Linked DNA regions of Stegostoma tigrinum. The protein of the gene in region 4 purifies or fractionates together with the protein of the main gene of each other region. This does not show direct contact. Links are inferred from orthologs where the notes say so. Each region holds a gene or a part of one and is shown on either strand. Other genes may lie near its edges.

Region 1 (6,968 bases), on a different chromosome or scaffold from region 4:
TCCTCCAACTGTCCCAGGAGCATTTCTATTTCCTTCCGTCGCTCTTTGTCACGCAGTTTATCATTTTTCAGCACAGCGAGGACCTCATCTGCTGCTCCACAGAGAATATCACGTGGCTAGAAAGAAAAGCCCAATCAATATAGAAAAATTGCCAGCTAATGCAGATGCAATACGTCTCCCTGTAACAATTTATCTTCCTTGTTCAACCTCTAAAGTGATCATTGATGAATTACTGCTCACGCTGTCTATGGCACATGCATCTGTCATATGGAAGTAGGGCAGGCAAATCAGCATGTTAGCTCAGTGGTTAGCACTGCTGCCTCACACTGCCAGAGACCCGGGTTCAATTCCAGCGTTGGGCAACTGTCTGTGTACAATTTGCACATTCTCCCTGTGTCTAACTGGGTTTCCTCCAGGTGCTCCGGTTTCTGCCCAGTCCAAAGATGTGCAGGTTGAGTAGATTGGCTATGCTAAATTTCCCGAAGTGTCCAGGGATGTGCAACTAGGTAGGTTAGCCATGGGAAATGCAAGGTTAAGGGAATGGGATGGATCTCAGTGGGATGCTCTTTGGAGGGGTGGTATGGCCTCGATAAGCTGAATGGCCTACTTCCACACTGGCCGTGGTACAGAACGCCTCAAAGAGCAAGAGTCAAAGAAATCAAAGGAACGGAGTCAATCAACTTTGACTAAGTCTCAGGTACAAATCAGGTTAAAAGTAAAAGAACCTAAAGGAAGACAAATGCATGCAGTGGAAGTGCTGAAACATCAACATCCCAAGAAACAAGCCAAGACAAATGGAAACCATCCCCTTTGCATAAAGTGGCATCCTGTCTGTGATGTAGTAGATCTTAAAATTAGTTAATCATTAAAGAGATCAGTTATGTCCATCACTTTTAGTAGCAGGGGATCTGTCTGGGATATTTTTTCACTGGAGACTCTCACCTGGTCACCAAGTGCAGCCTGAATGAAACTGAGCAACACCTCGTAGGTCTCTCTGGTCTCCTTTGTTTTGGGTTTGTACACAATTCCAACCATTTCATCAATGCCCTCTGACAACAAAGTGTATCCCCTCATTTTGTTCATGTCATGTCGGTCTTCATCACGCTTTCTCCTTCTGCATGAGACAAATTCAAAACATTTTAACAGCCAAGAAATTCAAGTAAGAATTCTCACTTAACCAGAGCACAAATATATATTTGTGCACAAAACCACCAATCTAAAGGATGGGTTGAAAAGTGCCCAATCTGATTACAAATAATCTCCCCTGTGCAGAATAGGAAGCTCCAAACGACTGAAATTTGACATGCTCAACTGCAAACCTCCCTCAACTACTATTACAATGAGTAAAGAAAGCCTTGGCACTTATTCAACATTTCAGTACACCACTGAAAATGATAGACAGGAGCCGGACTGGACTAGTCGCTTTGTGGAGTGACCCTCTCTTTTGCCAATTCCCCACATCCCTCAATTCCCCGAGACACCGAAAACCTGTCTATCCTATGAATGAGTAGATACCTGTTCTGAACCTTCATGGTTCTTTTGAGTTAAGAGCAAGATATAATCTGTGGAATGTAAAGACTAGGATGTGGACTGTTGAGAAACAAATGCTTGTAAATGTTCATAATGTTGCTTACATTAAATAACACCATGCACCAAAGTCATATGTTTCCCACCATGAGGTGGAATGATTATTTTACTATCACCTCAGGTCTAAATTTCTTGTTTAATCTGACACCTTTGCTCATTGTGAAGCATTAAAATTTTTCAGTAAACCAAAATATCAAGTGCTTTGAACTGATTGACCCACCTTGTCTGTTTACCTGCATTTTACCAAAAAACATTTTATCATTCAGGATTAAACTTTTTTAGTTCATAAAGATAGCTTATTAGTATAACTCTGCTCCCAACTCCAAATAAACTGTGATATTTGACAAGATATGTCCTTACTTTGCTCGTCTTTCCTCCTGCAACTGTGGCTTTGTTCTCTGAGCTTTGTCTCCCATTCGCGACCCTTCGAGCTTTCCAACCAGAGACAGCACTTCTCCTGTGGGCTCATCTCGTCTTGTTCGGTCGATCAGTGAACGATCTGCTTGCAATACAAGGTTGGAGTTCTGCAAAAAGAATGAAGAAACTAGTCTTATTCTCATATGGAGCGGTTTGCACAAACCTGTCGGTATTGCAAGATAACAAAATGTGGAGCTGAACGAATACAGCAGGAACTTCTGTGCTCCTAAGATGCTGCTTGGCCTGCTGTGTTCATGCAGCTCCACACTTTGTAATCTTGGGATTCTCCAGCAACTGTGGTTCCCACTATCTCTGTCAGTATTGCACTTGGGTGTAAACCATGCAAAATTTCCAGTCCTTGAGCAAAGTTGGGAATTACACATATTTCCCTGTATCCCTTCCAAAATTACTGATTTTAGAGGATTTTCACGAGAAGTTGAGGGTCGATTGGCATTTCCAAAAAAAACCAGCATTCATTTTTGTCGAGAATCTGATTTCAAAATTGCCCAATACTAATTTTTTGTTGTGGGATGGAACTGGGACATAAATTGTGTACTCATTTAAGACAAAGAATGAAAATAAAAAGCCATTAGAAACAATTCGATAACAATGACAAGGGCTCTAGAGACGTGTTCCTAGGTTGCCTGGAGGTCCCTTCAATTTCCTGATTTCAGCTCAACAGAGATGCCAACCCAGTTCTTATGTCGCATTCACCACAGCAAGGGCTAGGCCTCAACCTGGCGGTGTGCTTAACAGTGGCACTGTACTCGCCCAATTCAGCTCTGGCCATGCAAGCCCGCGCACGACTGTATCCAGCCTGTCTAGGGGATCAAACCGAGGGTTATCGATCCTCAACACCGACAGCACTCACCGCTTTGTACTCATACTGCAGGCTACGAGCAGTAACATCCGCCATTGCTGCTTGGCGATGCCTCCGCCGCCGGATGGCACTCAAACCTGACCTCCGGCCGCCGCGGATTCGCCTTCCGGGTCAAAGCCCAACGGTCTCCATGGGAACGGGAAACCCGCATCGTTTCTCAACGCCAGTTTAATTTTCCCTTTGGCGACAGGTGAGTTCCTGAAACATGGCCAGTATTGTTTACTTTTTATTTATTTGTTTAATTCTGTCGCCACCGTAAACAACGGTTATCTCACCCCCTTGGAAGATAGCAACCGTTGGCTGTCTCCCGCCATTTTCGACACTTTACCCACAATTTCTTTTACCCTTCCCTCCATCTGGGGGGAGTTCGGGCAGTTAAATTGGTCCGATGCTCTTTACTGCGAGGGGCAGAAACCGGGCATCACTGCTTATCCCGCATCAGCTGGAGACTTGGCCAACTGAAGTCAGGACAGGGAAGGTTGAATAGGACGCAATGAGCTTTTTGACACCATCAGAGGGCACCACCTCACCCCAACCTGTCAAACATGAAAATAGATGCCGGCGTTTTCTGTTAGTTCAAGCTGCTAGAGTTATTCATACTGTTTGCTTCCAGGCCAAAAAAAGGCTTTTCAGTGCTGGGTTCGCCGCTTTAATCTCTCTGTTCCCTACTGCACCTCTTAATATCACTTGTCTTCTGGACGAATAATAATCTCTCCAGATCTCCCGACAGCAATTTTCTCCCTTATATTTTCCAGCGATCTCGGCTTCTTTTCTCCTGTAACATGCATAGTCTGCAAGAAAAATTTTGCTCAGTGCAGTCGTTTTGTCTTCATTCTTAAAACCGTAAGACCATTCGAAAGAGGAACAGGGGTAGGCCATTCGGCCCTCGAGTCTGCTGCGCCACTGGATGGGATCATGATTGATCTTACACTCCTCACATCCACTTTCCTGCCCTTTCCCCAAAACCCTCGATACCCCTACTGATCAAGAATGCATTTGAGCCTTAAATATAGGGTTCTATGCAACACTGGTAGTGTCCCTATTCTCTCTGCCCGGAGACCCAAGTTCACGTTCCACCTGCTCCAGTAATAACCTCTCTAACAGGTTGAGTAGAAAATCCCTCCACAAGGACTGCTGTGTGCGGCAAGGAATTCTGAAGATTTGCAACCTTTTGAGAGAAAACATTCTTGCTCAAATCAGTCTTCAGTTGCCATTCCTGTATTCTGAGACTATGCCCTCTAGTCTTTGACATTCTCATGAGAGGAGATGTCGTTGCAGGAATTACCCTGTCAAGCACTTTAAGAATCTGATATGTTTCAATGACATCACCTCTCATTCTTCTAAATTTCAGTGAGTAGCTGTGGAGGCAAAGTCATTGTGTTTCTTTAAGACAGAGATAGATTCTTGATCAGTACAGTGATCAAACGTTATGGGGAGAAGGCAGTAGAATGGATTTGAGAAACGTATCAGCCACAATTGAATGGCAGAGCAGGCACAGTGGGCTAATTCTGCTCCGATAACTTACATAATGGTGCTTCCCCACCACTGGTTCCATATCCCATGAATTTGAACCCGTTTTTCCCATACCAATCTTTGAGTCACATGTATATGACTTTAATCTCATTGATCCTGTGCCAGCGAGTTTTGAGAAGATTTGTAGGTCAGGTTGAGGTTCTGGATGTGAGTTTGCTCGCTGAGCTGGAAGGTTAGTTTTCAGACGTTTCGTCACTTTTTTATTTGAAAAAATATACTTGATTCATAAGATGTACAAAAAATAAAACATATTTACACACCTACCCAGTCATGCAAGCCGCTCCGGGTGACCCAGGGGGTACATACACCAACTAAAGGAAAAAAAAACAAAAGAAAAAATAAAGCAAAGAAAACACCCCAGCAGTCGTCACCCCCGCACAGTCCCCGTTGGCTCCCTGACCAGTTGGGGAAGGCGCCAGCTGGGCCCATTTACCAGATACGGCCCTTTTTTCTATTCTGGATGAGGGGTTTCATACTGTGGTCTTGCCCACCGCGCCTTGGCGGCGGCTGCCCCAAGCTTTAGCGCGTCCCTCAGCACGTAGTCCTGGACCTTGGAGTGCGCCAGTCTGCAACACTCGGTCGGGGTCAGTTCTTTCAGCTGGCAGACTAGCAAGTTGCGGGCAGACCAAAGAGCGTCTTTCACCGCATTGATGGTCCTCCAGGCGCAGTTGATGTTGGTCTCGGTGTGCGTCCCGGGAAACAGCCCGTAGAGCACGGAGTCCCGCGTCACGGAGCTGCTCGGGACAAACCTCGACAAACACCACTGCATCCCCCTCCAGACCTCCTGCGCATAGGCACACTCCAGAAGGAGGTGATCAACAGTCTCGTCTCCCCGGCAGCCACCTCAAGGGCAGCGTGCGGTGGCGCAGAGATTCCGGGCATGCATAAAGGATCTCACTGGCAGAGCCCCTCTCACCGCCAGCCAAGCAATGTCCTTGTGCTTGTTTGAAAGTTCTGGCGATGAGGCATTCTGCCGAACGACTTTAGCAGTCTGCGTGGGGAACCACACGACGGGATCCACCCTCTCCTTTTCCCGAAGGGTCTCGAGGATACTACGTGCTGACCGCTGCCTGACGGCCTTGTGGTCAAAGGTGTTTCTTTCAAAAATTTCTCCACGAAGGACAGGTGGTATGGAATGGTCCAACTACTCGGAGCGTTCCGCGGCAACAAGGCCAGGCCCATCCTTCGCAACACCGGGGACAGGTAGAACCTCAGTAAGTAGTGACACTTGGTGTTTGCGTACTGAGGATCTACGCACAGCTTGATGCAGCCGCACACAAAGGTAGCTGTCAGGGCGAGGGTGGCGTTCGGTACGCCCTTTCCCCCCATTTTCCAGGTCCTTGTACATGGTGTCCCTGCGGACCCGGTCCATCCTCGACCCCCAAATGAAGTGGAAGAAGGCCCGGGTGACTGCAGCGGCGCAGGTCCAGGGAATAGGCCAGGCCTGCGCCACATACAACAGTACCGAAAGCCCCTCGCACCTGACAGCCAGGTTCTTACCCACAATGGAGTGGGACTGGAGCGTCCACCTGCCCAGCTTCTGCTTCAATTTGGTGATACGCTCCTCCCAAGTCTTAGTGCACGCCCCAGCTCCACCAAACCAAACACCCAGCACCTTCAGGTAATCTGTCCTGACGGTGAAGGGGATGAAGGAGCGATCGTCCCAGTTGCTGAAAAAGATGACCTCGCTCTTACCCCTATTGACTTTGGCACCCAAGGCCAGTTCAAACTGGCCGCAGATGTCCAATAGTCTACTCACCGACCAACGATCGGTGCAGAAGACATCGTCCATGTACAGGGAGGTCTTGACCTGAAGGCCTCCGCTGCCTGGGATAGTCACGCCCTTCAGGCTCACGTCCTTCCTGATGGATGCAGCGAAGGGCTCCACACAGCACACGAACAAGGCAGGAGAGAGCGGGCAGCCCTGCCTGACTCCAGATCTAACAGGAAAACTGTCTGATTCCCACCCGTTGATCGAGACTGCGCTAACGATGTTGGCGTAGAGCAGCCGGATCCAATTGCGGATGCCCTCCCCGAACCCCAATTTGGAGAGGACGTCCCTCATGTAAGCATGAGAGACCCTGTCGAAGGCCTTCTCTCGGTCCAGGCTGACGAGGCAGTTGTCCACCCGCCTGTCCTGTACGTAGGTGATCGTATCCCTGATGAGCGCGAGGCTCTCAGCGATCTTCCTGCCTGGCACAGCACAGGTTTGGTCAGGGTGAATCACCGACTCCAGGACAGACCTGACCCGGTTGGCTATGACATTGGCCAGGATTTTGTAGTCCACATTCAATAGTGAAATGGGACGCCAATTTTTAATTTCTTCCCTCTCCCCTTTCTTCTTGTAAACGAGGGTGATGATGCCCTTCCTCATGGACTTGCACATTTCCCCTGCCCGAAGCGCACTATCGTACACCTCCAGCAGGTGCTGGCCGACCAGGTCCCACAGAGTGGAACACAGCTCGACCGGTAAGCCGTCGCTTCCAGGAGTCCTATTCCTCTCCAAGGACTTGAGGGCTCTGGTCAGCTCGTCCAGGGATATCGGCCGGTC
Region 2 (8,005 bases), on a different chromosome or scaffold from region 4:
AAACCGGCTCTGATTACATATAAATACGGTCACATATATTGACATCCAAATCTCATATTCACACAACTTGAGCTGCAATCCACAACAGTAGATCAGAGGATTGAAAAAAATTTTCCATTTTTAGCAGATGCTTTTGATCCATAACATTTCACCCAGATAAATACATTTAGTATGCTAAACGTTTTGCCCTATTATCTTAATGCATACCCGTGGATGTACATGCAATAAACTGCTTTAATAAAGCATTCAACATCTGTATATTCAATTGTTTGCACTTGAAACATCCATTTTGAGACTTTCTTTGAATGTTTTTGAATATACAAATTGGGAGTCAGACTTTTAGATAATATTTTGTAAAAATAAAATCAACATTTCTCATGGAACACTGATGTTCAAGTTACTATGTCAGCTTCAGTTGCTCAGATTTTGAAATGAGCCAAAAGATTAAGGAATTGCCTTTCAAAATGGAACATGAATTCATAATCCCATATGACAGTCATGTCGAACAAAGCATAAAAACCTGGAGCAAACATCATGCTCCCTTGCATAGCTTGAACTGATACACGCAACTCTTTTGGTGCTCTCAGCAAGAGACTTCTCTTGACCAATCCCAAAAAAAAGTTTATTTTTCTCATTGTGTTGTTTTAGATTTTGGTACAGAATGGCTGATGCATTTATTAATGTACACATGCTCTCTGAAATGATAGATAAAACTAATGAAGTCAGATTATTTTAAACAACACCATGCAAACCTTAACCATATTACAAAACCCAAGCTTCTCTAAAAATACTGCCTGGCCAAGTGACAGCATTTCAGTAATCTTCGATTCCCAGAATCAGCAACTTCTATACCAAACATGACCTGCATCAAATTTTGATGTCAACACACACCAACTCCCTAAGGACCAAGCACGTTTTTGGGCAACAGTCGTAATATTTCAGAACTCTGCAGCAAGTGGAAAATCTTGTCTATGGCTATTCAGTAGCTCAACCTTTGGAAGAAAATGGAACATCCAGGATTTTGACAAGATTGTCTAGCATTATAGAACATAGAACATAGAACAGTACAGCACAGAACAGGCCCTTCAGCCCACGATGTTGTGCTGACTTCTTGGAGAAGTTATGATAAACAAGTTACATTTCCAAATAAACAGATAACAAGGTATAGAGCGGGATGAACACAGCAGGCCAAACAGCATCATAGGAGCACGAAAGCTGACGTCTCGGGCCCAGACCCCACATACCAAAACCAACATGTGTGACCATCTGACTGAGATCCAGATCATTACCCTCTAGGTCATAATCTTGGAACTGCCTTTCTACCAGCACTGAAGGTATCCCTATACCCAATGACTGCAGCAATTCATAAAGGCAGCTCAACTCCACCTTCTCCAGATCAATTAGTGATGGACAATAAAAATGCTAGCCTAGTCAGCAACACCTAAACCCCATCAATTACATTTAAAAATGTACACTTGAAAGTGGGATTTAAATCTATGCCTAAAATGTTATTAAGTTTTACAATCATAAAATACAGGAGGAGGCAATCCATGCAATTGTTTGAGAGAGCTGGGTATAGATTGTGACAAAAGATCAGCCTGACATATAACTTTTTGTAATCATTATGCTGCCTAACCCATTGCCAGCATCCACAGAAGTTTTTTGTACCAATGAGTCCCACTTGCTCCCAAAATTCTTCTTTTTCTCCTCTCCCTTATTAAGATTCCCTTTGAGATACAGGCTCAAATTTGCCTGCATCCTCCTTGTGAATAGTCTTACAGATTATGCTACATTGGTCTAAAATATATTTAGCAAGAAATATGTGCAGTATTAATCCTGTTGAATAATAAACTATGCAAACAGATCACGTTATGCTCTTCTGGAGTGAACGCTGGGGTTGATGGAAGAGAAGTTAGTGGACAAAGGGGAAGAAAATTTACACTTCCGTTGAATGGTAGAACCTAAGGAAATACCCAGGATCACGGGAACCTTGGTATGCAAGTCCATATATTCATGTAGGCAGCAGGTCAGATGTTATGAATGATATCAGGTATGTATCTTTATTATTCAAAGTATTGAATACAACAGGAAGGTGGCTATAATGGAGTCATACATATATATATTAGTAAATTATTATACATATTAACCAGAATATTTGAGAAACCCCTCAGCTATGAAGATAGACTAGATAGGCAGGAGTTGTTTTCCTTATAGCAGCGAAGGCTGATTGGGGAACCGTGATCGCGGTGTATGAAAGTTGAGGGACGTAGGGAGAAACACAAGCCCTTAATAGAGACATCAATAACTAGGGGGCACAGATTCAAGTTAAGGATCTGGAGGCTGAAAGGGAATTTAAGGAAAAAGTTTCATCCGCCCAGAGTGTGATGGGTACCTGGAAGGCACTGGCTAAATGATGGTCGAGGCAGGAACCATCAAGACATTCAAGAAGCATTTAGTCGAGCATTTGAAACGCCATCGCACACAAGGCTACGGGCCAAATGCTGGAAAACAGGATTGCAGTGAATAGATAATGAAATGTGAGGCTGGATGAACACAGCAGGCCCAGCAGCATCTCAGGAGCACAAAAGCTGACGTTTCGGGCCTAGACCCTTCATCCTAGACGTGGGATGCACAGACACGAACAGCCCTTCTTCCGTGCTATTAAAAAGAAAACCCTACGATTTCTCCTGGAAGGTTCCAGTCCAGCGAGTCCATATTTGAGGTGTCCTGGACCGATTCCTCCCTCGCCTGCCGAGCGCCACAATAGAAACCCATTAGGCCGCACGCCGAGCCGAGTCCCTGGGGCTCAACCTCCACTCACTTCCAGCCTAAATCCCGACCCATATGCCCAGAGCGCACAGAAATGCCTACGCTGAACGCACCTGCGACGACAGGAAAAAATGCGAGCGACGATTTTTTTTTCTCCCCGTTGGCCTTGCGTTAGGCCTCAGGGCCTCGGCGCCATTAACTCCGCCAGCAAAAGTGGCTCCAGCGCAGGGTGCCCGGATGCTGAGGGCGGGATTTCCGCTGTCCGTGTGAGCCTCCCATTGGTCAGTCAGTCGGATTGATGACCGCTACAGCCACTCAGAACACAGAACTCTCCAGGTAGACTTTTGAAAACAAGTGCATTGAAAGAAGATTAAATCAGACTTTACAGTGAAGTGCACAATGATTGTGCTACCACCTGAAAATAGGAAAAAGAGTTTAAAAAAAAGCTGGATTCCGTGTCAACTGTTTCAATTAAGAAACATCAGTGCACAACCAAGGCAATGTTGAACATTTATCTTAACAAAAAATGTCTCAGATACTATACAGGGGTGTATTGGACACTCAGTTCAAACATGAATACATGATAGGAACAGGAGGTGCGACCAAAAGCTTAGGGAGATGATAAAAATAGATCTTGAAGGAACTAGGAAAAGCAAAGAGATTAAAATCGGAAATTCCAGAGTGCAGTAGCAGGTTGGCTGAAAGTTCTAAGTAAGGGTCACTGGACCCTAAACATTAACCCTATTTTCTCCTTCACAGATGGTGCCAGGCCTGCTGAGCTTTTCCAGCAACTTTGTTTTTGTGGATGAAAGCAGAGCTACCTTGCTGCAGCTAAGAGTGGAGGAATACACAAAAGATCAGAATTAAAGGAATGGCGATGTTGAAGGGAATTGTAGGATTGGAAAAGTTTACGGAAATCAAGATGGACAAGGGATTGATTGGAATTTTAAATTGGATGCATTAATGCGCATACAGTAAATTACATTGAATTTTGATAAGGTCCCATAAGAGCTTAGCTTGTAGAATTAAAGCACATTGGATAGGGGGTAGTGTACTGTGGTAGTGTTTGGCTGACAGGAAACAAGATAACAAAGTGTGTAGCTGGATGAACACAGCAGGCCAAGCAGTATCTCAGGAGCACAAAAGCTGACATTTCGGGCCTAGACCCTTCATCAGACAGGGGGACGGGAGAGGGTTCTGAACTAAATAGGGAGAGAGGGGGAGGCCGACCGAAGATGGATAGAGGAGAAAATAGGTGGAGAGGAGAGAATAGGTGGTGAGGTGGGGAGGGGATAGGTCAGTCCAGGGAGGACAGACAGGTCAAGGAGGCGGGATGAGATTGGTAGGTGGGAAATGGAGGTGCAGCTTGAGGTGGGAGGAGGGGATACGTGAGTGGAAGAACAGGTTAGGGAGGTGGGGACGAGCTGGGCTGGTTTTGTGATGCAGTGGGGGGAGGGGACGAGCTGGGCTGGTTGTGGGATGCATTTGGGGAGGGGGAGATTTTGAAGCTTGTGAAGTCCACAGTGATACCATTGGGCTGCAGGATTCCCAAGCGGAATATGAGTTGCTGTTCCTGCAACCTTCGAGTGGCATCATTGTGGCACTGTCGTCTAAGGAATGGGAGGAGGAGTTAAAATGGTTCGCGACTGGGAGGTGTAGTTGTTTATTGCGAACCGAGCAGAGGCATTCTGCAAAGCAGTCCCCCAAGCCTCCGCTTGGTTTCCCCAATGTAGAGGAAGCCACACCGGGTACAGTGGATACAGTATACCACATTGGCAGATGTGCAGGTGAACATCTCCTTAATATGGAAAGTCACCTTGGGGCCTGGGATGGGGGTGAGGGAGGAGGTGTGGGGGCAAGTGTAGCACTTCCTGCGGTTGCAGGGGAAGGTGCCGGCAGTGGCAGAGAAACATGGGCCTTTTTCCAAGTGGAAGGCAATTACTAATGAGCTACCACAGGATCCTGTGCTGGGACCTCAACTATTCACAATGTAAAGGAATGAGGAATCTACATATAATGTCTTCAGATTTATACAGGACACAAAGCTGAATTGGGGAGTGAAATGTGAGGAGAATGCAGAAATACTCCAATGTGATTTGGACAAGTTGAGTGAATGGGCAAATGCATAACAGATTAAGTATAATGTGGATAAATGTGAAGTTATTAACTTTGGTAGCAAAACTAGGAAGGCAGATTATGATCCAAATAACAATAGATAGAACATTGAACATGACAGTGCAGTACAGGCCCTTTGGCCCTCAATGTTGTGCCAACCTGTGAAACCAATCTGAAGACCATCTAACCTACACTATTCCATTATCATCCATATCAATCCCATTCCGGGATTATGATGTTTCAGTAAGAACAGAGAAGATGGTAAAAGGGGGGGGAGGTGTGGCATTGTTGATCAAGGACAGTATTACAGTTGCAGAAAGGATGTTTGGGGACTCGTCAACTGAGGTAGTATGGGCTGAGGTTAGAAACAGGAAAGGAGAGGTCACCCTGTTGGGAGTTTTCTACAGGCCTCCGAATAGTTCCAGATATGTAGAGGAAAGGATAGCAAAGATGATTCTCAATAGGAGTGAGAGAGACAGGGTAGTTTTCATGGGGGACTTCAACTTCCCAAATATTGACTGGGAACACTATAGTTCGAGTACTATAAACGGGTCAGTTTTTGTCCAGTGTGTGCAGTAGGGCTTCCTGACACAGTATGTAGATAGGCCTTCAAGGGGCGAAGCCACATTTGATTTGGTACTGGGAGTAGGTGAGCACTTTGGTGATAGCGATCACAATTCTGTTATGTTTACTTTAGTGATGGAAAGGGATAGGTGTATACCACTGGGCAAGAGTTATAGCTGGGGGAAAGGCAATTGCAATGAGATAAGGCAAGATTTAGGGAGCAGAGGATGGGGAAGGAAACTGCAGGGGGTGGGCACATTAGAAATGTGGAGCCTATTCAAGGAATAGCTCCTGTGTGTCCTAGATAAGTATGTACCTGTCAGGCAGGGAGGAAGCTGTAGAGTGTGGGAGCTGTGGTTTACGAAGGAAGTGGAATCTCTGGTCAAGAGGAAGAAGAAGGCTTATGTTAGGATGAGATGTGAAGGCTCAGTTAGGGCGCTTGAGGGCTACGAGGTAGCCAGGAAAGACCGAAAGAGAGAGCTCAGAATAGCCAGGAGGAGACATGAGACGTTGTTGGCGGATAGGATCAGGGAAAACCCTAAGGCTTTCTATAGGTATTTAAAGAATAAAAGAATGACGAAAGTAAGATTAGGGCCAATCAAGGATAGTAGTAGTAAGTTGTGTGTGGAGTCAGAGGAGATAGGGGAAACACGAAATAAATATTTTTCGACAGTATTCCCTCTAGAAAACGACAATGTTGTTGAGGATAATACTGAGATACAGGCTACAAGACAAGGTGGGATTGAGGTTCACAAGGAAGAGGTATTAGAAATCCTACAGAGTGTGAAGATAGATAAGTCTCCTGGGCCGGATGGGATTTATCCTAGGATCCTCTGGGAGGCCAGGGAGGAGATTGCCGAGCCTTTGGCATTGATCTTTAACTCGTCGTTGTCTACAGGAATACTGCCAGACGACTGGAGGATAGCAAATGTGGTTCCCCTGTTCAAGAAGGGGAGCAGAGACAATGCTGGTAATTATAGACCAGTGAGCCTTACCTCAGTTATTGGTAAAGTGTTGGAAAAGGTTATAAGAGATAGGATTTATAATCATCTAGAAAAGAATAAATTGATTAGGGATAGTCAGCACCGTTTTGTGAAGGGTAGGTCGTGCCTCACAAACCTTATTGAGTTCTTTGAGAAGGTGACCAGACAGGTAGATGAGATTGAACTGGTTGATGTGGTGTATATGGATTTCAGCAAGGCATTCGATAAGGTTCCCCACAGTAGGCTATTGAACAAAATGCGGATGAATGGGATTGTGGGAGATATAGCAGTTTGGATCGGAAATTGGCTTGCTGAAAGAAGACAGAGGGTGGTAGTTGATGGGAAATGTTCATCCTGGAGACCAGTTACTAGTTGTGTACCGCAAGGGTCGGTGTTGGGTCCACTGCTGTTTGTCATTTTTATAAATGACCTGGATGAGGGCGTGGAAGGATGGGTTCGTAAATTTGCAGACGACACTAAGGTCGGTGGAGTTGTGGATAGTGACGAAGAACGCTGTAGGTTGCAGAGAGACATAGATAAGCTGCAGAGCTGGGCTGAGAGGTGGTAAGTGGAGTTTAATGCAGACAAGTGTGAGGTGATGCACTTTGGTAGGAGTAACCGGAAGGCAAAGTACTGGGCTAATGGTAAGATTCTTGGTAGTGTAGATTAGCAGAGAGATCTCGGTGTCCATGTACACAGATCCTTCAAAGTTGCCACCCAGGTTGACAGGGCTGTTAAGAGGGCATACAGTGTTTTAGCTTTTATTAATAGAGGGGTCGAGTTCCGGAACCAAGAGGTTATGCTGCAGCTGTACAAAATTCTGGGTGCGGCCACACTTGGAGTATTGTGTACAGTTCTGGTCACCGCATTATAAGAAGGATGTGGAAGCTTTGGAAAGGGTGCAGAGGAGATTTACTAGGATGTTGCCTGGTATGGTGAGAAGGTCTTACGAGGAAAGGCTGATGGACTTGAGGCTGTTTTCGTTAGAGAGAAGAAGGTTGAGAGGTGACTCAATTGAAACATATAAAATAAGCAGAGGGTTAGATAGGGTGGATAGGGAGAGCCCTTTTCCTAGGGTGGTGACGGCGAGCACGAGGGGGCATAGCTTTAAATTGAGGGGTGAAAGATATAGGTCAGATGTCAGAGGTCGTTTCTTTACTCAGAGAGTAGTAAGGGACTGAAACACTTTGCCTGCAACGCTAGTAGATTTGCCAACTTAAGTACATTTAAGTCATCATTGGACAAGCATATGGACGTACATGGAATAGTACAGGTTAGATGGGCTTCAGATTGGTATGACAGGTCGGCACAACATCGAGGGCTGAAGGGCCTGTACTGTGCTGTAATGTTCTATGTTCTATATGTTTATCCAATGACCATTTAAATGCCCTTAAAGTTGGCGAGTCTACTACTGTTGCAGGCAGAGTATTCCACACCCCTACTACTCTCTGAGTAAAGAACCTACCTCTGACATCTGTCCTATATCTATCACCCCTCAATTTAAAGCTATGTCCCCTTGTGCTAGACATCACCATCCTAGGAAAAAGGCTCTCATTGTCCACACTATCTAATCC
Region 3 (7,825 bases), on a different chromosome or scaffold from region 4:
GGGATAATCTTGGAAATTACAGGCTTGTAAGCCTCACGTCAGCAGTAGGGAAATTATTGGAAAAGATTCTCAAGACCTATACACATTTAGAAGCAAATGGACTGATTAGTGATAAACAGCATGGTTTTGTGTGGAGGAAGTCACGTGTCACCGAGTTAACTGAGTTTTTTTGAGGAGCTTGCGAAGATGTTTAATAAAGGGAAAAGCAGCTGATGTTGTCTACATGGACTTCAGAAGGCCTTTGACAAGGTCACTCATGGCTGACTGATGCAAAAAGTGAAGTCACATATCAGGGATGAGCTGGCAAGATGGGAGACAGAAGGTAGTGGTGGAAGGACGCTTTTCAGAATGGAGGGCTGTGAGTGGTGGTGTTCCACAGGGATCAGTGTTAGGACTTCTGCTATTTGTGATCCACATAAATGATATGGAGGAATACGTGGCTAGTCTTATTAGTAAGTTTGGAGATGATACAAAGATTGGTAGAGTTACAGATAGGAGGATTGTCAAAGGATACAGCATGATATAGATCAGTTGGAGGCAGAGGCAGAAAGATAGCAGATGGAGGTTAATCCAGACAAGTGTGAGGCAATGAATTTGGAACGTCACATACAGGTAGAAATTAAACAGTGAATGTCAGAACCCTGAATGTGAGAGATCTGGGTGTGCAGGTCCACAGATCACTGAAGGTGGCAGCAAGGGTAGATAAGGTAGTAAAAAAGGCCTATGGGATGCTTGACTTCATTAAAAGGGGCATTGAGTATAAGAATAGACAAGTTATGCTGCAGCTTTATGGAACTTCAGTTAGGCATACTGTTCTGGTCACCACACCACCAGAAGGATGTGGATGTTTTGGAGAGGGTACAGAAAAGGCTTACTAGGATGTTGCCTGGCATAGGGGATTTTAGCTATAAAGGAAGGTTGGATAGACTGGGTTTGTTTTCACTAAAATGCAGGAGGCTGAGTCACGACCTGATAGAGAAGTTTAGAAGATTGTGAACGGCATGGATAGAGTGGAAAGTATAAGGGTTGTTTGCAGGGTGGAAGGGTCAATTACTAGGGGACATTGTGTAAAATCAAATATGGTACACTCATTGGAACTCACAGCACGAGTCATTCCTAAAAAATCGAAAGATCAGCTCAATCCTCACCTGTCTTAAATGGGTGACCCCTTATTCTGAAATTATGCTCACTGGTCCTAGATTCTCCCCTACGGGGAGACATGCTTTCCACATCTACACTCTCAAGCCCCCCTCCAAAGTATCTTGTATGTTTCAATTTGGTCACCTTCCATTCTCCTCAAATCAAATGAGTACAGACTCAACGTGCTCAACATCTTCCCAGAAGAACATCCTTCCATACCTGGAATCAACCGAGTGAGCCTCCTTAAGACTGTCTCCAATGCCAGTATATCTTTCCTTAGATAAGGGGACTAAAACTGTTCCACAGCATTCTAGGTGTGGTCCGATTAGTACTTATATAGTTTTAACGAGTTCCCTCTATATTTCACTCCCCCGAAATAAAGGCTAACATTCCATATGCATTCACTATTAATAGCTGAACTTGATAATTTTTTTATGATTCATGCACGAGGACTCCTAAAATGCTCTGTGCTGCAGCTTTCTGTAGTCTTTCCTCATTCAAATAATATTCTTTTCTTCCTGCCCAAGCATGTAGCCTCACATTTTCCCACATTATATTCCAACTGTCAAATGTTTGCCTACTCACAACTTGTCTATATCCCCCTTGCATCGTTGTCCCCTGTAATTTACTCACCTAGCTTGGACAAAGCAAATAAACTCATGTTAGAAAATCAATACATTTCTTCAGTGTGTTCAGGGCAGTTGTTTTACAACAATATGCACTAGAACCAACAAGCAGGCAGGCCATATTAGTTTAATAAATGAACCAGATATTCATTAAGAGCCTAATGGTGCAGGAACATTTACCAAAAGTGATTGTGGAATCTATGGTTTCCCTTTCTCAGCCAAAATTTATTTCCTTTGTAATGTCTCTCCTCTCTTTGCTCACCAGAGTTCATCTTGTTCGTAAGAGCCATCTTGTACTCCCACAGCCCTATTCCCACTATATTACTGACCACCAACTTTCCTTCCTTGCTCACACATTAACTAAAACCACTAATGGTTCTATCTCTTCTGGTTCTGACCCTCTCTCCTTCAAATGTGCCATCATATTTCCCTCATCAAAAAAATACCTTTAATTCCCGCTGCTTGCAAACTGCTGCCCTATCTCTGACCATCCCCATTCCAAAATCCTTTGAAGTGTTTGTGGCATCTCAAATCTGTGCCCATCTTTTCCAAAACTTGAATCCTTCCAATCAACACTGCAATGGCTCTTATTCAAGTCACAAACAACACCTTCTGTGATCACACCACAGGTAAACTATCTTTCTTCATCCTGGCTGTGGCTTTCAACATGGTAGCCATCTTCCTCCAATTACTTTCCTTTGTTGTCCAGTGGGTGAGAGTAGACTGGCCTGATCCCATTCTTATTGCATCATAGCCAGGGAAACCATTGGCAATGACTTCTTTCCATTCCTACAGTGATCTCAGATGTCCCCCAGAGATCTATCTTTGGCCCCCTTCTATTTTTCACTGTACACTGTCCCTTGGCAATCAGTTTCACATCTATCTCACTACTACCTTACTTGAACCCTTCACTGTCTTGACTTTGCCTTCTTGCTACTCTGACACCCAAGATTAAATGGAAGCAGCGATATTGTGCTCCTGAGATGCTGCTTGGCCTGCTGTGTTCATCCAGCTTCACCCTTTGTTATCTTGAACTCTTGCAGCAACTTGGTTTTACTGCCGTCTCTGTTGCAATGTCTGACTCCATTACTACTTCAGCTCTTCTGCCGCTGAAACCCTATCCATGCTTGTTATCTTCAGACTTGACTATTGTAATGCATTCCTCGCTGCTCTCCCACATTCTAAACACTGAATTTGAGGTAACTGAAGTCTCTGATGCCTGCAGTCTAACGTACAGCATTCACCAATCCCTCTTGTACTAGCTGACCCACACAGACTACTAGTTAAACAATACCTTTATTATAGAAAATCTTCATTATTGTTTTCAAATCCCTCCACAGCCTGGACCCTCCTGACGTTCATAACCTTTTCCAATTCTGAGACCTCCAAAATATCACTGCACGTCTAATACAGTTTCAATATCCCTAATTTTAAATCATTCTGAAGAGGACAGGCAGGAATTTTTTAAAAAAAAGGTTCTTCAGGGTAGTAATGTGATAATGGGAACTGCAGATGCTGGAGAATCCAAGACAACAAAGTGCGGAGCTGGATGAACACAGCAGGCCAAGCAGCATCTCAGGAGCACAAAAGCTGACATTTCAGGCCTAGACCCTCCATCAGAGAGCATCCTCTCTGATGAAGGGTCTAGGCCCAAAATGTCAGCTTTTGTGCTCCTGAGATGCTGCTTGGCCTGCTGTGTTCATCCAGCTCCGCACTTTGTTATCTTCAGGGTAGTAATATCTGGAATACTTCCAGTGCCATGAGCTAGTGAGGATAGGAATAGAAGGATACAGCAGATAAATGTATGGCTGAGGAGCTGGTGATGGAGAGGATCCACAATTTTGGATCACTGGAATCTCTTCTAGGGTACAAGTGACCTGCATAAGGATGGATTGCAGCTGAATTGGAAAGGGCCTAATACTCTGCTGGGGAGATTTGCTAGATTTCCTAGGGAGATAGTGAGAAAAGAGGACAGTCCCCAAAACTGGTAGAGATGGGAAAAGGAACAGGTCAGACAGTCAGGAACAAAGCAGAAAACGAGCTATTACGGATGAATTAAACTGCATTTATTTCAATGCAGGAGGCCTAACAGATAACGCAGATGAACTGAGGGCATGGTTGGGAACATGGGACTGGGATATCATAGCAACTATAGAGACGTGGCTCAGGGATGGACAGGGCAGGATGCTTAATGCTCCAATGTATAGATGCTCTAGGAAGGATATAAAGCGTGTGCAGGGGATGGGGGTGCGAGCAAGTGGCAGCAGTATGGGGGGGGTGGGCACTGGGTGTGAGTGCCTGTGCCAGGGTGGGGGTGGTGGGAGTAAGTGCAGGGGGTGTGCAAGTGGCAGGGGTGCATGTGGGGTGTGGGGGTGTGGGGTATGTGTTGGGGGGTGGGGGAATGTGGTGTGTGTGGTGGTGGTGGGGGGGGGGTTGGTGGTGGGGAGGGGGGGGTTGGTGGTGGTGTGGTTCGGGTCTCCTGCCGCCTGACTGAAGTGATTTCCAGGTCCCTTTGTCGGTGCCGTGTCCAGGCGATGGTGGGTCTGGCTCTGGAGGCGGACGGTGAGGCCCAGGCCCAGGCCTAGGCCCCGCTGAGGTTCTGTCGGAGCGAACCTGGCGCCAGCCCTGGCCAAACTCCTGTCACCTTGACACTCACCTCCAACTCCTTCTTCATACTCTCAAACTCCTCAATATCGTCCAGCTTCAGTTCGAGCCGAGTAGGCTTCCTCCGCAACATTCTGCCGCTAGAAGTCACGTCCAACTTGGTCGCTTCAGACCTTACAGGCGACACCTGGCGTCACCACGGCATGGCACACTGGGACATGTAGTTTCTGAGCCGGCGGCGTGGAAATGACTACAACACCCAGCAGCCTGTGCGCCGCCTCCTTACCCTTTGCCCCGGACGCAGTCAGTGTCGGCTTAACGACGGTATAGGAGCTGGTAAGAGGCCGCGCTGAGGCTGGGGGAAGGAGAGATAGAGACAGGAGATAGCCTAAAGCTAGGCCTTGGCTATTGCCGTCAACTCCCCGTCCTTAACCGGGCCTTTATATTGTCAGGTTGGGGAGAAGTCGGTCATTGTGGCTGCTTGTGGGGGAGGGGAGGCTGTACTGTATCAGAAATCACACACAATGCTCTACTTGTGGCTCATAACTTTATTCAACTTCACCGTAAATCCCCTGCTTTTTCCATCAACATTTCTATTTAGGGAGTTCATAACTCCCATGTGCTTGGTTAATCACGCCCTGTGTATGCTGCCACCTGAAGAGTTTAGTGCACGTTGGCACCAAGTCCTCTCCCCTCCCCGTCTCTCTGCGCGCTCTTTAGCACTGAGTCATTAAGTATCTATTTCCTTCTCCCAAACCGTTCTTCCAAAATGAATCGCTTGTTAAATCCCAATCTGCCGGCCTACAATTCTCCGACTGGTAGTTAGAATCATAGAATTCGTACCGTGTGCCAGCATTCGGCCCATCGAGTCCACACCGAGCATCCCTCCCGTATCATCCCCATCTCCCATGGCTAACCCACCTAACCGGAACATCCCTGATGGGCAATTTAGCACCCACCCACCCTACACCTCTTTGGAGTAGGAGGCAGCCAGAACACCCGGAAGAAACCCGTGTAGACACAGGGAGAACGTGCAATCTCCACAAACTCGGGACCCTGGCGCTGAGAGACAGTGCTACCCTGTGCAATTGGTAACATTGTTATCTTTAGTACTGTTTCTAAGTTTGGTATCATTGACAAATTTGGAAATGTTAGTCTTTCAATATTCAAATAACATTTAAAAACCCAAGCAAAATATCTATAATATACCTACAAATTAATCTTTTATAAGATGGGTATGATGACCCTCAAGTTCACCTTAATGTCAACATCTGCTTTTACTTTTGAAATATGTTCAGCTTTGCCACTCAGACCAAAGTGGATAATTTCACATTTCCATCTTCTGCTGTAAGGAACAAGAGATCATCTGATGAGTGATAATGGAAACTGCAGATGCTGGAGAATCCAAGATAACAAAGTGTGAAGCTGGATGAACACACTGTGTTCATCCAGCTTCACACTTTTTTATAAGAGATCATCTGATACTTGTTTGTTATCTGTAGTTAGGAATAGAAGTAGATCATTCACTCCTTTGAGCCCTATTGCACTTACTATTCATTTAGATATTTTTTAATCAATGTATTCAGACATGCTATGGCTAATCTGTACCTCAACTCCAAGATCTACCTTTGCTCAACTTTTCTTGGTACTTTGACAATATAATGATCTTATTAATTCAATAGCTCAAATTGCCCTAAGGTGCATTGCTTTTGATTTGGGGAGACAGTTCCAAATTTTCTGTGATCCTTTTTCTCATCTGCCAGAGCCTTTCTTGATTTTATTCCATGGATGCTTCTGTTGTCTTTGATTCTCTCTCATTTCCTGCTTGTTCCTGTGAAGCTCCAAAAGCATGATCCAAAGATTCTCTCTCCTGGGCTAGAAATCAACACTCGTTCAGTTCTTCCTGTTCCAACTTCTTTCCCAAGGCATCAAAAACCAGAATTCCTATGAGCAACACCCCAATTTAAGCATGCAGATGCATGTACTTGGAGATTAGAGCTAGAGTCAAACAACCTGTCTTTCTCATCTCTTATCTCTGGTCAAAACGGTTTGTTAATTTTATGCATTTTCTACACCCACAGTTTCCTGCCCCATATTACAAGAATGTCTGATGATGATGATGTTCCGTTGCCTAAGAAATCTCGGATTTATTATGGAAGCCTTGAAGAGAAGGAGAAAGAGAGGATTTCCAAAGGAGATGCAGGATACCTGGGGAAAGAAGCTGTGAAAGCTGGGGTAGAAGCTGGACATATTAATATATCCAGCAGTAAGTGATGATGCTTCAGTTTCTTTAACTGTGTCATTGAATAATTACTCCATCTGATTGAGTCAAAAAATGTGGAGCTGCTGAAAAGATTGCTGAGAAATTTTAGAAAGCTGGTTGGGAACAATAGCAATAAGTAACAATTTTAGATGAATTGGGCTTTATTTTGGATGCAAAAGTGCAGAAAGTCTATAACGTTTGAAACACTTCTGGAAATGGCAACAGTTGTAATTAAGAAATTTATGTGCAACAAGTTCACACAAATAGCTAAGTGACGATGGCCTGATAGTCTGATCTTATAAGGTTAAATGATTTTCTGGATACCGTAGAAATATGCTGTATGTTGACTCTTCAGTGGGGATGCAAGGAAGTCCAAGTTAATGCCCAATACCTGCAAATAATGAATGTACAGTTAACAGATTTTCAAAAGAAATTGCATTGAAAATATTCAGGCTGTTCAAAGCAAATGTTGAGAGCATTTTATAGATCTCTTATCTGTGTGAAGTTGCGTATGTGACAACAATTATTGACAGTATTAATCCCTTACCCTACACAACGTGCGAATGGCTGAAATCAAAAAATACACAGCAAAGCTTTGCATTTCAAAATCCCACATTCTCTGAGACTGCTAACAATTTCTTTGCACATGCATTTCGTTTTCTGAAACAGTTGATGATTTACATCCATCCACTTAAGTTTAGAAGTCTTTTTTTCGCCTCTAGCATTTGTTTCAAACCAGCAAGGTCAGTTCAGAACCACTCTGTCACATTTTGTATCCCGTTGTGAACCATTGTCTACGTAACATTCTCTGGGTATACCATTTTCAGGAGTCTTATTGCACAGTATCTGCTTAAAATATTGAAGAAATAGAATCCGATATCCACAGCCTCCATAAAAACCAGTGTTTAAGCAGCCAGTGTACTTTTATAAACACAGGTATAGGAGTAGGCAATTCAGGACCTTGAGCTTGTTCCACGCTCTGAGAGATCATGTCTGATAGAACACAGAACATAGAAAAGTACTGCACAGTACAGGCCGTTCGGCCCACGATGTTGTGCCGTGGAATATTCCTAATCCAAAATTAAAATGACATAACCTACATTCCCCTCAATTCACTGCTGTCCATGTGCATGTCCGGCAGTCGCTTAAATGTCACTAATGACTCTGCTTCCACGACTACCACTGGTAAACT
Region 4 (7,312 bases):
GGAGGAAGCAAGGGTCTAGCACAGCTTTAGATGATTACAGGCTTGCTCAGAAGGAGCTCAGAAGTGGACTGAGGAGGGCCAGGAGGGCGCACAAAAAAGGCTTGGCAGGAAGGATTAGGGAGAACCCGAAGGCAGTTTACTCATACGTGAGGAATAAGAGAATGATCAGGAAGAAGTTAGGGCCAATCAGGGATAGCATAGGGAGCTTGTGCGTGGAGTCTGAGCAGATAGGGGAAGCCCTAAATGAGTTTTTGTTTCGGTTTTCACTAAGGAAAGGGACCTTGTTGTGAATGAGAACTTTGAGGAGCAGGAAAACAGGCTTGAACAGATCGAGATTGAGGAAGTTGATCTGCTGGAAATTTTAGGCAAACATTAAGATTGATAAGTCCCCAGGGCCAGACCAGATTTATCCTAGGTTACTCCAGGAAGTGAGAAAGGAGGTTGCTAAGCCGCTGGCGAAGATCTTTGCTTCCTCACTCTCCATGGGACTCGTACCGGAAGATTCGAGAAAGGCAAATGTCGTTGCTCTTTTCAAGGGAGGGAATAGGGAAATCCCTGGAAATTACAGACTAGTCAGTCTTAAGTCTGTGGTCAGCAAGGTTTTGGAAAGAATTCTGAGGGATAGGATTTATGACTGTTTGGAAAAGCATAGCGTGATTAAAGGGAGTCAGCATGGCTTTGTGAGGGGCAGGTCATGCCTCACAAATCTTATTGAGTTCTTTGATGAAGTCATGAGACAGGTTGACGAGGGTCGAGCAGTGGATGTGGTGTACATGGACTTCAGCAAGGCATTTGATAAGGCTCCCCACAGCAGGCTCATTCATAAAGTCAGGAGGTATGGGATACAGGGTGATTTGGCTGCCTGGATTCAGAATTGGTTGGCTGACAGGAGGCAGAGAATGGTTGTAGATGGTGAGTATTCTGCCTGGATGTCAGTGCTGAGTGGTGTCCCACAGGGCTCTGTTCTTGGGCCTCTGCTCTTTGTAGTTTTTATAAATGACTTGGATGAGGAGGGTGAGGGGTGGGTTAGTATGTTTGCTGATGACACAAAGGTTGGAGGTGCCGTTGATAGTATCGAGGGCTATTGCAGGCTTCAACGAGACATTGACAGTATGCAGAGCTGGACTGAGAAATGGCAGATGGATTTCAACCTGGATAAATGCAAAGTGATGCATTTTGGAAGGTCGAACTTAAATGCTGAATATAGGATTAAAGGCAGGATTCTCGGCACTGTGGAGGAACAGCGGGATCTTGGTGTTCAAGTGCATAGCTCCCTCAAAGTTGCAACCAAGGTGGATAAGGTTGTTATGAAAGCATATGGTGTTTTGGCTTTCAGTAACAGGGGGATCGAGTTTAAGAGCAGCGAGGTTATGCTGCAGCTCTACAAAAGCCTGGTGAGACCACACTTGGAAGATTGTGTCCAGTTCTGGTTGCCCTATTATAGGAAAGATTTGGAGGCTTTGGAGAGGGTGCAAAGGAGGTTTACCAGGATGCTGCCTGGACTGGAGGGCTTGTCTTACGAGGAGAGGTTGACTGAGCTCGGACTTTTCTCTCTGGAGAGAAGGAGGAAGAGAGGTGACCTGATCGAGGTGTACAAGGTAATGAGAGGCATGGATAGAGTCGATAGCCAGAGACTTTTCCCCAGGGCAGGATTTACATGCCAGGAGGGGTCATAGTTTTAAGGTGTTAGGAGGAAGGTATAGAGGAGGCGTCAGAGGGAGGTGCTTCACCCAGAGAGTTGTGAGCGCATGGAATACTTTGCCAGTGGTAGTCGTGGAAGCGGAGTCATTAGTGACATTTAAGCGACTGCTGGACATGCACATGGACAGCAGTGAATTGAGTGGAATGTAGGTGAGGTTATTTTATTTTTGGATTAGGATTATTCCACGGCACAACATGGTGGGCTGTAGGGCCTGTACTGTGCTGTACTTTTTTATGTTCTAATTATATGCCGTTATTCAGCATAATGGCGAACATTAAAAGCGTTCTTTATTTGGCTGTGATTCTTGGTAAAGAGATGAATATGTCTAAATATTAATTGGCCCCTGATTTCAAATGTTGATCATTCCTTGTGTGAGACTTTCCTCATATCAGTCCTAAATTTACCATTCACTTGATGTAACTTTCACCTGTCTCCTTGTTTTACCTTATAATTTAACTGCAAACAATATTTTATATTGATATTTTATTTGCTTTTCCATTCATCTCTGTTAGTTCACCTTTTTGCATACTTTTTATGAATGACATCACAAACACAACATGGAAACCAATCATTCTGATCTGCTAGTTTGCGTTGAGGTTTTCCTTGCTCAAAAATTAATCCTGATTTTGTACCCATTCTGTTGCAATATTCCTTTCACTCCCTTTTTATTCAACCATTTGTTTAAACTTTGACATCAGGAATCCACCTCATAGTTTGTATTTGCATTATCTCAAGTGTTGTTAGTGGGTAAGGTAGTTTCACAGTCATCTGACCCAAGGACTGTAGAGTTCAAACCTGGCTTCCCTTGATTTGTATTCAACTTCTTTGGCTAGATCAATATTCTAACTGTTCAAATTGGTGAAACTTAATCCTCAATAATGAAATATCATCAATCTGAAAACATAAGCCTGTTCCTTTGTTCACAAATAGAATGTTGGGTATTTCCAGGATTTGTTGTGTTAATTTCAAATTTACAACATCCACACTTTTTCTTTGTATTTGTGATTGAATTACAAAGATAATGGGACAAATAACAAAAGATGGATCTAGAAGAGAAATAAATGGTTACACAGAATAGCAGAGGCAGAGGAGGATGGAAAATATCTCAAAAAAAAGTTCTCCTGGGTCTAGTAATGCGAAGAAGAAAACAGGGTTGCAGACCACCCTGCCAGTAAAGGAGATTTTTACCTCAGGCACCAACCTCCTTTACTCCCTGTGATTCTTGTGTATTACCAGCATCTGCTGTCCATAAATAAATTGAGATGATGGTTAAAATCCAAAGTCATTAATGTTGATTTTAATAATAGAGAATGTGGCAGCATGAGTAGACTTTTAGACACCTCAAACTTGCTCCACCATGCAATGAGATCATTGTTGATCCAATTGTAGCCTTATCTCCATTTCTTTCCTGTTCACCAGAGCCCATGATTTGCATGTGGATCAACAGATACCTTTTGAAAAATGAGCTGTTGTTCTTCATGTTTGTGTTGAGCATCATTGAAATTTGTAGAGACCTCTAAACAAAATGGCCAGTGTCAGAAAGGGATGGATGATTAAAGTAGCAAGTGACCTGAAACTAAAGGTCACACAGTAATTTGATTGGATGTTGATTGATTATAAAGTACCTTGGGAAGTGCTCAGTTTTGGAAGACATTACATAATCACACGTTCTTCTTTTCAGCAAAATGATCACTAAACCTGTGCTTAGGCTTCCTGATGTAGGGGACACTACATTACAACTGCTAAGTACAATATACCAAGTTGAAAAAAGTACAAGTAACTCCAATTTTCACCTGACAAAAATGAAATCATGGGTCACGGCCAAGAGAGGATGACCTCCTAAGTGTTGCACCTTCTGTGCTCTCATGGGAAGGTACTGGGGATTGTTGCAGAGGAAACAATTCCTTTCAGAATACTGAAAGAGAAGGGGAAGATGTGTTTGTGGTGGAGTTTTCAGACATTATCTGTTGATTGTGGAGGCCAGCACAGTGAAAAGTGAGAACAAGGGGAACTCTGTTATGGTTTTGGTTGAAATGGAAAGCGTGTAAGAAATGGGATAGATATGGTTCAGGACCCTATCAACCACAAAGGAGGAGAATCTTTTGTTGCTAAAAAATATTCATAAGCTGTGGTTACACCTCCCAGTTTACCATATTGTGTAGAGTTTCTGTTTAATGGTTTGTGCTTTACATTTGTGTGCATTAAATTTCATGTGCCATTCATCCACTTTATGATTACAGAAACATTAGAAAACTTCAAACTTGTGTTACGAAGTCACAGGTAGAATGGGTTTCAACACCATGCTCTACACAGTTGAAAAATAATTCCACCTATGTGACAGCAAAAAACTGACTGTCTCCTTTATATCCTATGAAATTCTCAAACAAACCAAAGAATATTGCAAAGCAGTTTGAAGTGAGGCATCCACAAAGAGAAGAAAACAATTTTCAACATGACATTGGCAATTTATTTTGTTAACAGGAGTGATTTGTCTGTCATCCCTTGATTTGTGGCATAGACATCCCTTGGAGAATAACAGCGCTGCCTAGAGTGAGCTCAGACTTTTGAGCATTGGTGCTACCGGGGCAGAGGAGCTGCTGTCAATCAAATCCCGGGCCCACCCACAGCATCGCGGGTTCCGCTCGCAACCGTTGTACAAAATGGCGAAGATCGCCAAGACTCACGAAGGTAATTGAGGGGGGATTATGTCGGACGGTGTTTTTATCAGTTTTTTTCTAAAATTAAAACATGGGCGGAATGGAGGTCACAAGAATGTTTCCGTAGGCTGTGTCCGTAGTTCCTCCGGTTGTGAGCTGTAGGAAATGTGGCTGCAGTTCTGATGAACGAGCGCTTGGCTGGGTCAGGAAATGGCGTCGCTCCTGAGAGCGTAAATGAGGGCCGAGGGAAGAGGCGCCAGAAGCGACCGAGCGACCCCGACACTCCCGTTCCACCGACCAGTTCTCGAAATGGGCGGCGGTGGGGGTACTGTCTTAGTTCGGGTGCCTTCACGACGCGCGATCTTAGTTGGGTTTTCGTTGGCTTGAGTTTTGTGGCGGTTGGAGTCGGGCAGGCTGATTGACGCAGTCTGCCTGCGGCCTTGTCAATAACGACGATCCGCCGCCAGCATCGAAAAAGAAAGCGACTGCCTGCATCATTGCAGAGTGGCCGGATTTAATGTGGAGTTTGCTGAGAAGGTAGATCTGGTTCCAACCCAATCTGTTTCTCTACATGGGGAACGAAGTGTTGATAGCGGTGCTCACGTGTTTTCCTAGTGGATGGTCTGAAGAGTGGCATTGTCGATAGTGAGGAAGAGTCATGGTGTCAATGTCTTTGAATTAAGCACCTAACTAGCCAACTTATTTTGGCATTCATATCGCTGTTCTGTTTCGTGCGTGGTTTACAATGCCTGGGTTGCTGTGTCCTGGATTTTTAAAATGCATCCTAATTCTTGCTGCATTGAGGATGCTTAACACAAGTTCCCGTAGCTCTGTGGCGATTTGTCAAATCGCCAACGTTTTTAGACCTTAAGCGACGGTGCTAACGCATCCAAACATTAAAACAAAATGTTTATAAAGTAAACGAATAACCGTTTGATCAACATTTCGTAAAGCCACCATGACTTATGAATAGTGTTGGGCATCGTTGCTTTATTTTACCGTGAAGGAAAAATACTAAATCTAACAGCAGAATGTGTTTGGAATACAGTTTCTTTCGCCAGCCGAAAGGTTGAATTAACGTTTCAAGTCAAGTACAGTATGAATTTTCTTCATGAAATGCAAATGAGATTCCAGTTTATTCAAAAACAGAAATTGCCAGAGAAACTCAACACGTCTGGCAGTATCTGTGGACAGAAATCAGAATTAACGTTTCAGATCCATTGACCTTTTTTAAGTATGGGAAATTGCTGACCAGGCTTCCCAAACAAGTTCCACTTGTCTGGATTTGGCCCATAACCCTCAACCTTACCTATTCATATGCCTGCTATAACTGTATTTACATTACCATTTTCCATGACAGTTCATTCTATAAATGCACTACACTCTTGTGGAAAAAGTTGCATCTCAGATCCCTTTTAAATCATTCAACCTTTCACCCTAAACTTTTGCCCCCTAACCTTGAACTCCTCAATGAAGTTTGCGTTTTCCAAATTTGTTTGCTTTTTCAGTAAGCGTGGAAAAGCTCGGTGTTCCTTGACTTTTTCCAAGAAATCACGTGATAAATCTCTCATTAATCAACTCAAAATCATCCAGATAGTTCAGTTTTCTGATTCTCATAATCCAGAAAAGTTTGCTTTAGTACAAGATTGAGACAGAAATGGTTTTCTTTTATTTTTATGCAACCATTAGGCATATTAGTTACTTGCAAAGTCTAATTTGAAGTGTCACAGTATCTTGATGTTTATTATAAACATTTAAATGATCACAGATAAACTTTGGAATTCGTAAGTTTTCTGGATTTTGTGAACTGCCTTTGGATGATATTTAAACCTATAGTCTGTGGTGTCAGTAATTCTCAATACTTTCAAAATCTGCATTATCAAAATCCTATCTGTTGAGATACCAATATTGTGCTATTAATTGTAGCATAATTCATACTGACTTCTGGAGTTTTATTTTCAAGTATGCCATAATACAACCTTTTATTTTACAACTGAATTACTTTCTTGACACTGGGCATTGACAGTCTCTGTGGATTCATGACTGAAACATTTCAGTTTGCAAGTCTTGACGAGCAAGCAGTAATGTCACAAATATATTTTACCAAAATAAATAATTTTAATTAAAATGTAATCAATTCTTCTCATTCTCTATTAATTTGTAAATAATGCTTCCCATTCTGGCCCTTTTTTTGGTCAAATCTGAGTCAGGTGCATTGATTCATTGTTCATAGTTGTGGTCTTAACTAGTGCCTTGCATAGTTTTGCCAAAAATTCCCTACTTTTATTCATTCTCTTTGAAATAAAAGCCAACGTTCCAATTTGCCTTCCCTATTACTTGCTGAACTTGGATGCTATCTTTTTTTGTGATTAATTTGCAAGAACTAATAGTGGGTGGATAATTTTGAAATTTGTGTTGTTGAATGAGGCTTAAATATTGTTGGGAATGCCTCCTTACTGCTTTTCAAAATAGTACCGTGGGATTTTTAACACTCATCCAATTAAACAACTGGGGCCACAGTGTAATTTCTCACCTGAAGAATGCCACCTCTGACTGTGACTTCTTCAGGCTTGGATTGGAGTGTCAAGCCATGATTTTTGTGCTCAAATCTTGGAGTGGACTTTGAACCTGGAATCTTGTGCTTCACAGGACTCATTGCTGTCAAATCATACAAGCTGCTGATGGTACCTTCATCAGTCTCCTGTTACTGAAAGTGTAGTCGTGAGATTGTCATGTCCTGCTTTTAATAAACCGGATATATTAGGCAATTTTCCATGTTTGGTCAATGGCACTATTTTAGCTGTACTGCAGCAACTGGCTAGGAACTCAACTGGGGTACGTGTTTTTGGGGACTACGTTTAGGATTTTGTTTGGACTTTGTTAGTTTTTGGGTGAAACCGTGACTTAATCTGCGAGCAAACTCACCTTTTTGAATGAGAAAATTGCAAGTTCA

What was found.
Region 1: the proteins of sf3b1 (region 4) and snrnp200 purify together in Homo sapiens (co-immunoprecipitation; 4 studies listed by BioGRID and IntAct, with this or other methods). This does not show direct contact. The link is inferred for Stegostoma tigrinum from reciprocal best matches to the Homo sapiens genes SF3B1 and SNRNP200.
Region 2: the proteins of sf3b1 (region 4) and prpf8 purify together in Homo sapiens (affinity purification with mass spectrometry; 5 studies listed by BioGRID and IntAct, with this or other methods). This does not show direct contact. The link is inferred for Stegostoma tigrinum from reciprocal best matches to the Homo sapiens genes SF3B1 and PRPF8.
Region 3: the proteins of sf3b1 (region 4) and prpf4 purify together in Homo sapiens (co-immunoprecipitation; 3 studies listed by BioGRID and IntAct, with this or other methods). This does not show direct contact. The link is inferred for Stegostoma tigrinum from reciprocal best matches to the Homo sapiens genes SF3B1 and PRPF4.

The regions. Positions count from the first base shown.
Region 1 is NC_081393.1:10,285,768-10,292,735, reverse strand, and holds the start of snrnp200 (U5 small nuclear ribonucleoprotein 200 kDa helicase), read right to left. Parts: upstream 3,008-6,968; 5' UTR 2,921-3,007; coding exon 2,876-2,920; intron 2,112-2,875; coding exon 1,948-2,111; intron 1,115-1,947; coding exon 943-1,114; intron 117-942; coding exon 1-116. UniProt on the Homo sapiens protein: Catalyzes the ATP-dependent unwinding of U4/U6 RNA duplices, an essential step in the assembly of a catalytically active spliceosome. Plays a role in pre-mRNA splicing as a core component of precatalytic, catalytic and postcatalytic spliceosomal complexes.
Region 2 is NC_081380.1:24,517,609-24,525,613, reverse strand, and holds the start of prpf8 (pre-mRNA-processing-splicing factor 8), read right to left. Parts: upstream 3,009-8,005; 5' UTR 2,883-3,008; intron 1-2,882. UniProt on the Homo sapiens protein: Plays a role in pre-mRNA splicing as core component of precatalytic, catalytic and postcatalytic spliceosomal complexes, both of the predominant U2-type spliceosome and the minor U12-type spliceosome.
Region 3 is NC_081382.1:5,538,329-5,546,153, reverse strand, and holds the start of prpf4 (U4/U6 small nuclear ribonucleoprotein Prp4), read left to right. Parts: upstream 1-4,809; 5' UTR 4,810-5,309; coding exon 5,310-5,461; intron 5,462-6,451; coding exon 6,452-6,636; intron 6,637-7,825. Other genes in the region: anaphase-promoting complex subunit CDC26, read right to left, coding at 4,423-4,503. UniProt on the Homo sapiens protein: Plays a role in pre-mRNA splicing as component of the U4/U6-U5 tri-snRNP complex that is involved in spliceosome assembly, and as component of the precatalytic spliceosome (spliceosome B complex).
Region 4 is NC_081360.1:31,792,673-31,799,984, forward strand, and holds the start of sf3b1 (splicing factor 3B subunit 1), read left to right. Parts: upstream 1-4,292; 5' UTR 4,293-4,362; coding exon 4,363-4,390; intron 4,391-7,312. UniProt on the Homo sapiens protein: Component of the 17S U2 SnRNP complex of the spliceosome, a large ribonucleoprotein complex that removes introns from transcribed pre-mRNAs.